Caenorhabditis elegans: one gene and its partner. The protein of the gene in region 2 purifies or fractionates together with the protein of the main gene of each other region. This does not show direct contact. Each region holds a gene or a part of one and is shown on either strand. Other genes may lie near its edges.

What was found. The genes of interacting proteins can lie anywhere in the genome.
Region 1: the proteins of herd-1 (region 2) and car-1 purify together in Caenorhabditis elegans (affinity purification with mass spectrometry, with the first as the bait; one large-scale study listed by BioGRID). This does not show direct contact.

What each region holds. Positions count from the first base shown.
Region 1 is NC_003279.8:12,902,963-12,906,598, reverse strand, and holds car-1 (Protein LSM14 homolog car-1), read right to left. Parts: upstream 2,130-3,636; 5' UTR 2,124-2,129; coding exon 1,878-2,123; intron 1,828-1,877; coding exon 1,638-1,827; intron 1,586-1,637; coding exon 1,142-1,585; intron 1,095-1,141; coding exon 952-1,094; 3' UTR 559-951; downstream 1-558. Other genes in the region: coa-5 (Cytochrome c oxidase assembly factor 5), read left to right, coding at 3,150-3,440. UniProt on the Caenorhabditis elegans protein: Transcriptional regulator. Involved in modulating embryonic expression of ATP-dependent chaperone cdc-48.1. May play a role in mRNA gene silencing, and RNA granule (P-body) assembly.
Region 2 is NC_003281.10:12,494,837-12,499,860, forward strand, and holds herd-1 (Edg1 TPR repeats region domain-containing protein), read left to right. Parts: upstream 1-1,701; 5' UTR 1,702-1,707; coding exon 1,708-1,791; intron 1,792-1,835; coding exon 1,836-1,948; intron 1,949-1,997; coding exon 1,998-2,268; intron 2,269-2,315; coding exon 2,316-3,560; intron 3,561-3,632; coding exon 3,633-3,819; intron 3,820-3,876; coding exon 3,877-4,098; intron 4,099-4,151; coding exon 4,152-4,186; 3' UTR 4,187-4,511; downstream 4,512-5,024. Other genes in the region: Y111B2A.1 (Protein kinase domain-containing protein), read right to left, coding at 1-333, 400-480, 530-594, 655-802; Y111B2A.2 (Mitochondrial cytochrome c oxidase subunit VIc/VIIs domain-containing protein), read left to right, coding at 1,252-1,388, 1,434-1,557; sql-1 (GRIP domain-containing protein), read left to right, coding at 4,727-4,852, 4,962-5,024.

The DNA.
Region 1 (3,636 bases), on a different chromosome or scaffold from region 2:
GAGTTTTCGATCCGAATGCCTCTGGATTCGAAATTTCCCGAGATGGAGGAGTTAAGGGAACTATTCGCTGTCTCTTCAAAGGGCATAGCGTCAAAATCGACTTTAGCCCCTGGAAGTTCGAGATCACCAAGGAATAATTTTATTATGTATTTTCTCTTTTAATGTTTAATTTATTTCTTTAATGTGTTCACTTCAATCAGTTTCGCTGAATAGTTTTTATAAAGTAACATTTGTTAGCTATTCTTTACGTATTTAGTCGCCAGAACAACTATCGAACTTTTTGAAATTACAGCAAACTTATACCAATATTTTTTGACACCTTACATGTCCAACTGGCTTCCAAGTTGTAGAAAGAAAACATCGAAGCAATGATACAAAACAAAAAGTTTATACGGGGAAATCACAATTTCTCAGGGCTTGTCTACCTAAGAATGAAGGGTTTGCAATATTATAGCAAATCTAAGAGAAGATCTTAAAAACAATTTCATATCTCCTAGAAGACAATCATAAAAGGCGGGGTGTGGGATGATAGGAGAGCAGGTGCAAACGATTTGACAGTTTAGTCACTGCAATTTTATTAAAATGACAAACTGAGGACAACAGAACGACATGCTTTAAAATTCACAAGCTAGAACTTAAAAAAACGGGGGAAGGGTCCAATCACTATTGTAGTGGGGGAAGAAAAAACATTGGGAATTTTTTGGATGGGAGATGTGTGTCGGTGGGTGGGTGCGCAATAATTATTACAAAATAACAGAAGGCCCGCATTGAATCGTACGAGATTTCTAAATAATTAACGGGTTTCTTATAACACGCCAATAGTTGAGAAGAGACAAGGGTAATCATTGATGGGGGGGGGGGGAGAATGGATAAACTTACATAATAAATTAACAAACGGCTAATATCGGGGTATGGGGATGTGGGGAGAAAACAATTTCAGGGAATTCGAACTTATTGTTCGGCAGCTGCGGCAGTATTGCCTTGGTTGTCACGTGGAGCATATCCACCACGACGGTATCCACCGTTGTTCTGACGATAACCTCCATTGTATCCTCCACGGTGCTGGTGTTGATGCTGGTATCCGTTGTTGTAACCTGAAAATTGAGCATAAGACGTTGTAACTTCTAAAGTGGAACTATACCTCCATATCCGCGGTTTCCACCACGTCCTCGTCCTCCGAATCCACGACGGTAGTTCAACGAACGCACTGCGTTGTGTCCGAACGTCTCCTGATTCGTTTCTCTCTCCTTCTTCCAATCTGGCCGTCCAGTCTTTCCTTCGGCTTTCTCCAGTGATTCACAGCTGATGTTGTCAAAGAATGAAGTCTTCTTGTCGTAGAAGGCAGCATCCTTCTTCTCCTCAACTTCTGGCTCGGCCTTATCCTCAATGTTGAGCTTCTCAAGGTTGTCGACGAGAACTTCTTGGAACTTCTCATTGGCCTTCTCGAAGTCAAAGTCCGATTCGAACTTCAGCTTTTCGCGGTGATTAACTCGAGGAACTCCATAATTGTTGTGCCCTCTTTGGTTGTTGTATCCGCCAGCGAATCCTCCGCGGTAGTTGTTGTATCCACGGTTAGCTTGGAAGTCTGAAAACATGATCATAAATCCAGAGTTGATTTGAAAGAAAATAAAACTGACTTTGCTGATAACCTCCACGTCCTGGACGTTGATTTTGGATGATTTGGCCTAACGGACTGTTACGGGATGGCGTTCCGGCTCTGGAAGAACCTGCAGAGGCAGCTGGAGCTCCGTCACTTGCTGGGGCTGATCTCGAGGAGACAGAGATGATGGCTGGATCGTATGGAAGCCCTCCTCCAATGTTGGCCATCTGAAAAGACATTATTTAGATCAATGAAGCTCGATTATCCGGCAACTCGCCTTCGGAGTATCACAAACGATCAAATCCTTGATGTCGCTGGCCTTGAAGATGATGTACTCGTAGACATCATCACGAGCGGCGACCGGATTAGCAGTTGGACGCTTCTCGGTTCCGAACGAGCGAACCTTGGCCAACGCGATGGTAGAGTCGTTGGTGTCGACGGTGTAGAGGATTCCCTCGTAACGGATGTCGAGCTTGGAGATCAGACTAATCTTGCTTCCGATGTACGGTGTTTGATTCGACATTATTACCTGCAAAAATGTAATATAATTTAAGTTTCACAACGTTTGAAGAAAGACGAAGAGCAATATTGTCGGGAATAGGAGAATAAATTAACAACTGAAACCGTGTAAATGTGCGCTTCTATCAATCCTAAAACAAAATCTTGCGGAATACTACGAAAAATGTCGAAGCGATCTCAATTGTGTCGAGAAACCTTAGAAATTAACCTAATTGGCCTAAAATCGATACGGAGGTGTCAATAAGTCTTAGAGGAACATCAACGATAATATACAAGGATAACACTGACAGTTTAAAGCCCTAATTTCTTATAAGAAGTGGGAAAAGCTGCAAAAGTTTAAAAGTAAAATGCGAAGCCGTCATCGTTATCGATTCTGCGCCGATGGAGCGTGATTGCATCCGTCTGCCCACTTATTTTATGAGGTACTGCGCAGCCACGGCCGTACCATTGCAGTAAAAATAATTTTGAGTATTAAGAACCGAAAACTCACTAATTGAACTTCTCAAACAGCTAAAAATCGGCAGAAGAAATAAAAGGTAAGCTCAAACTTGAAAATCACAAAAAATGGGAAGTTTCTATCAAAATTCGCAAAATTTAATGATTCTAAGCTGTAACTTTAAGTTCATCACGTCAAAAATAATTATTTTAGCAATAAAACATTGAAAATTTCCCTAGAAAATCAAAAAAAATAACGAAAAATCAACAATTTTGCGAAGAAAACAACAAAAATCCTAAAATGGCGCTGCACCCCAATCCCATTTAAAGGCGCATGTTTTGCTATAGGTTTTTGTGGGTCTCGCCACGATTCTGCAAATCTTGGCACCGTGCCAACTCCGTAAATCGACACTAATTATTTTTCAAAATTTAAATGAAATAAAATCAATTTTTGTGCGAATTTATTGAATTTTCTCGTTTTTTTGTGATAAAATTGTGAAAAAGACTGAAATTTACTTAAATTTTATTGTTTAAAACTAGTTATATCTTCTAAAATCAATTTTTATTCGATTTTTCAGGCAAACTCCCGCGAAAAATGGCCGGAATCACCGCACACTCCCAATCCCAACAATTTGAAGAAGACGAATTCAACGAGATAAAGAAGACCGGTGTATCGTGTGATCGTCTACGTCAAGCACTCAAAAAATGCATCAAAAACTCGCATTGTGTGCAAGTTCAAGCTCGATCTGCGAAGGAATGCATCGATGCACGTGGCGACGGAAGTGTACCCGACAAATGTTTCGCCGTTCTCCAAAATTTCACCGACTGCAAGCGATCACTGGTGGACATGAGATCGAGATTCCGAGGAAGGAAGGGCGATCTTTGAGCGAATAATTCGAAAATTTTCATATTTTTTGTTACTTTCTTTTTAGGATTTCAGCTTTCTCTATAATATAATACGTGTATAAATCTATTTTCCAGGAAGAATGTGTTAAAAACTTGAGAATTATCATCGTATCGCTAAGCTGGGCCTGTGGATTCGGCTTTTGGGAATTTCCCGCAAAATATTGAACTTTTCGCCT
Region 2 (5,024 bases):
CACATCTTTCCTAATTTCCGTGGTGAAGGTACACGTGGAAGTGAAGCAGATATTCTCTGGCTTTAAATCCAAATGCACAATTTCCATTTTTTCCAGCTTCTTCATAGCGGACAAAATCTGTGCTCCAATTTCTCGAATCGTTGCAATTGGGAACGAGATTTCCTTGTTCGGCACCTCCGACTTTGTTGAATCCATAACGCTGAATAACGATTTTCCTCTCAATTCCATCAGAATAGCAATTCGGAGATATCCTTCTGGAACTGAAGCCATTTTTCCACTTTTCACGAGTTTGATCAAATTCGGGTGGTGAGCAGCGGCGACAGATTTCATTATCTGTAAATAATTGGGGATTGAAAGCTGAAAAATGGGGGGAAAAAAAATTATAGATTATTTAAATACCTCACTTTCGCGAACCCAGTCTTCGCATCCAAACTGTGTGTGTCCTGCTTTGAAGAGCTTCAGCGCAAATTTCTTCTTCTTCTAAAATATTAGATTTAAAATTTAAAGCACAATTTTAAAACAAAAAAACCTCAGCATCAGCAACCTCAAAAACTGTGCCAAAAACTCCTTCGCCAAGAACCGACACATTTTCAACTGAAAATTCAATTAATTTCTTAAAAAGATAACGTTTTTAAAAGTTTTAAAACAACTTACGATCGGTTCCCCAATTCGTGCGAAATGATTTGTCAGTTGTGCCATGAAAGTCGACAAATCGTCTGAATTCGAGCTTCTCACCACAGCTTGAATAGGCTTTTTTAGCCGGTAAGGAGTGGTGTTGGAGACAGGTGCTCGCACGTTTCATCTGAAATTTTAGGCCAAGTTAGGCAAAATTAGTAGTGAGTCGAATAGGAACAATAGAAATAACAGGTCACATTTGCATTGAATTTGGAATATTTTTAGGTATTTTTTCTCGTAAAATGTAAGAAAATCAATTGAAAAACCAAAGAAAAAGGTTGAAATTTAAATTTCTTATATTAAAAAAAAAAAAAAACTTTTAAGTGCCGGTTACGGTACGCAAGTCCGCAAACACGCTGCATACACTCCACAACTACCGTAGTCCACGGGCGGCCGCATTGCGCAATTGCGTGAATTCATAATCCTAAAAGTTTTTTTTTCATTTTTGTCCTATTTCCTTCAAAGTTTGTTCGTTTTCCATCGATTTTCACCATTTTTTTTGCACGAAATATTTTAAATTATCAATATTCTTGATACAAAAACTTTATTTTTCCTAATAATTCCCGTTTTTCAGCCATGGCTACCCGAAACATGCTCCAATCATATGGAAAACGCGGAATTTACGTTTCACTGGCTGTCGCTGTCGTCTCGACTGCCGCCTTCAACGCATTTTACGTCTGGCCACGTCACAACAAATATGAAGAATTTTTCGCGTCAGTCTGATCCTCGCACAAGTTTGTCTCAACGAAAACTTGCAGAAACTACGATCCGTACACTAGAATGAAGGAGATTTGCGCTGCTAACAAGGGATACATGCATACTTGTCCGAAGGAATTGGCGAAATTGTACGAGGAGAAAGGAAAAGCTGTTGCCGAGCACTAAATTTTCGATGAATTGCTTATAACAAAGCACTATTATGTCTTGTTTTCTTTCATTCTTGATCAGTATTTACATTGTGTTTTATACCACATGCATATCTTCCTTTTTTTAAAACCATTTTGTAACAACGAAAACCTCCCTTTACAGATAATAATGGCTGAGAATAAGAGTTCGAGTGAACTGCCCGATAAGAAGACTCTTGATATGAACAAGGAATGGGTGCAGGAGCTGGAGGCTGTGAGTTTCCAAGTGTTTAACTTATAAATATTTATTTTTTTCAGATTTTCTACAGCTACAGAAACTACGACGTGAGCAAGATCAGAGTTCAACAGTTTTTGGACAGATCATCCAACTTCCTCATCTACGATTTCTACACCTCCAACCTTTCTCTGGAGTATGTGAATAATGTCACCTTCAGTACCCTCATTTATACAAATTTTCAGCGCGACGCAGTATTTCCAAGCAGGAATCACTCAAAAGGACGTCGGACTGAGCAAAGACTACATCCTCCTCATGCGGAAACTCTACAGTATGCTGACGGAGCCGAGCAAGCAGTTCTTCCAGGAGGAATTCGTGAAGGAATGGCAATTTCACGAAATTGATTATACGCCATACTTCGAAACGCTCGTACCCAGATTCAGGGAGAAAGTTGCGAGCCTATTGGATGAAATTTCCAAAAATCCAAAAGAAGTCGACGATGATTTTCAGGAAGAGGTAAAAATATAATTATTTTCGAATCACGGTTCATATCGATATTTCAGCTCCGCTGGCACCTGCTCTACTCACCAGCCACCACTCTTATGGAAATGTTCACTCAATGCCTCAAGAACTTCGACATCGCCGGAATTTGCATAGAAGTGTGCCAAAAAGTGCCACAATTGTTCTTCGATCGTCGGTTGAAAATGTATCACACGGAATACGAAACCGATCGAGTTGAATCACTCATGGCTCTCGTTTTCCGCAGATTGATCCTCAATAAGCGTTGGGTGGATACTAGTAACGAAGAGTGGCGCAATTTGGAACAACTCGCAAGAGTCATATGCTCAGGAAAGGAACCCGCGTTGATGTCCGCATGGGCACTTCTGGATGTGGTGCTTTGCGAACTCTACACAGAGAACAGAATTCCCATGATATCGGTGGAGGTTTTGAGCGAGATTGCTGCAAAAATTGTCGAAAACTTCGATAATTTGGAGTATGCCACGTCGGCGAGATCTAAGCCAGCTGACAAAGTTCTCTTGACTCCCTCGATCATTTGTTTCTTGCTCAACACTATTGATGACGCGAACGTTTCGAATACAGTCATTGAAAACTGTAAAATGATTCTCAAGGCGATTGGTCAATCCATGAAGCAGCCATTCGATGATGAAGCGAAGAGCTACTTGACTTCTGAGGTTTTGAGAAAATTCCCGTGGCCCGTAGAATTCGCATGTTCAACGTGGTTCAAGTCACTGGAAGTTGAGAAGCGACGCATTCCATCAGCGATCTACAAAGCAGTCAATGGAGCAATTGAGGAGACATTCGACGAAAGAAGCGGAATTTTTGGTCAATCGGACAATAAAGGAGACGCAGAACGATGCTCGTCTCCATCATCTCAATCTTCAGTGAAGACGGCGATATCGATTGGCGATAAATCAGGCACCGCTGTTGATAATTTGAAGATGAATGAGCTGAATCTGAGCCCAATGTCAGCAGAAACTGTAGAAGATGAGAAAAGCTGTAAATCCGCGTTGGTCGCAGAGATATTCGAGGAAATCCCACTGGAAACTGATCAAAACATCTCAGTTTTTGAAGATCCACTCGAAGTTCTCACGGAATACCTCGATTATATCATCACGATGGGAGTGTTCGACGTCTCGTGCGCCAACGAGCTCATGTGTCACAGCTCAGTCACGTTTGAATCCACGGAACAGCTGGAGAAAGTTATGAAGAAGGCGTTTGAGGAGAACTTCGAGATCGCAAAAGCCGGCCCACAGCGTATCAGAGAGATTTGTGCGAAGATTTTGGAGGTAATTTTTTTTTGATTTTTCAATAAAATTAATTTCTGAAAATCGGCCATTTCTGAATTTCTATATTTCCAGGTTTTCGCTCCAAGCTCGTCGGAATCGGACCACGACCGTATCGCTTCTTCGCTCATTGAGGTCATTCCAACAGAAAAATATGAGGACACTGGACCAAGATGCACTCAGGATTTAAAGAAATCGGAAATCATTCAGCCTCTGGTCATCATTCCAGACAAAACATCTATGGAACGCTGGCCGCCAACTGGTAGGAAAATGATACTAAATTATCGATTATTTCGTAAATAATTCTGATTTCTTGCAGAATACCGTTATAAACCAAATGAAATCAATGGATCTCGTAACTCTGCACGACATGAACGTGAAGTTCGCAAGCAAGTTGCATTAACCAAATCTTTGGAAATGGCTCAACTTCATCGCAATTTGTGGGCGGAAAGCGAGAGAAATATGGACCACTGGACCCGACCAGCGTCCCCAGGCAATCGTCCATTTTTTGGCGGATCTCGCATGAACTCGTCCACATCAAGTATGTTTTTAAAAGAAAGCCAATATGTTTTGTTTTAATTATAATTTTTGTAGGAGCGCATGGCAGCTCTACGAACGGGTTCCGTTAAGCCGACTGATCGCCCCTGGAATGTTTAAAACGTTCATTTTATTTTTGTTCTTTTGTTTTCAATTTTTCGTTCCTGATTTTTGTTGTAAAATGTATTTCGCATGGTTTTACCCCTTTTTCACTGAGTTGTGGCCCTAAGTCACCGTATTCTTTTTGTTGTTACCCTCGGAATTTTTTAAATAATTACCCTCGGAATTTTTTAAATAATTTTTCCCGATTTTTTCCTAGGAATATGTTAACGTTGAGGTTTCTTCCTCAACGTGAACATTTTAACTCAATGGTGCTCCATGAGGCCATTTCCTTTTCAATGAATTTTTTAAATTAAAAAAAAACGACAAGATTTGGCCTCTGGTATTTATTTAGAAATATGTTCTGAAACTTTTGTGAATATTGTTAGAGTGTGCAATTGCGCGTCAATTCACGTGTTTTCACACACGACACGCGATAGGAGAGAAACCTGAAGAAAAGATCCACTTTTAATGCGATATTTATCCCTTGATTTTATTGATTTTTGAGAAAAAAACGTTGCTTTTTTCCAGTAATGAGCGGATGGTTACGAAATATTCAAGGACAATTAACAGATTTGGCAAATGAAGTGCTAAATGAGGCGAATGATGTGTTGGCAGAGGCCACAGAAGAAGTTCAAGATCCTGATGGAGAGATTATTGTGAGAATTATTAATTTTAAGTTAAAATTGTTAAAAATTGGAAAAATTCAGTTAAAAAACTCGAATTTTAAATAAAAAATCAATTTTTTAAACCAAAAAAAACTTCCAGGTAGCTAAAAAAAAGGCAGCTGAAGCCGAAAAGCAACTTGCAATCGAAACTTCGCGTGTCGAA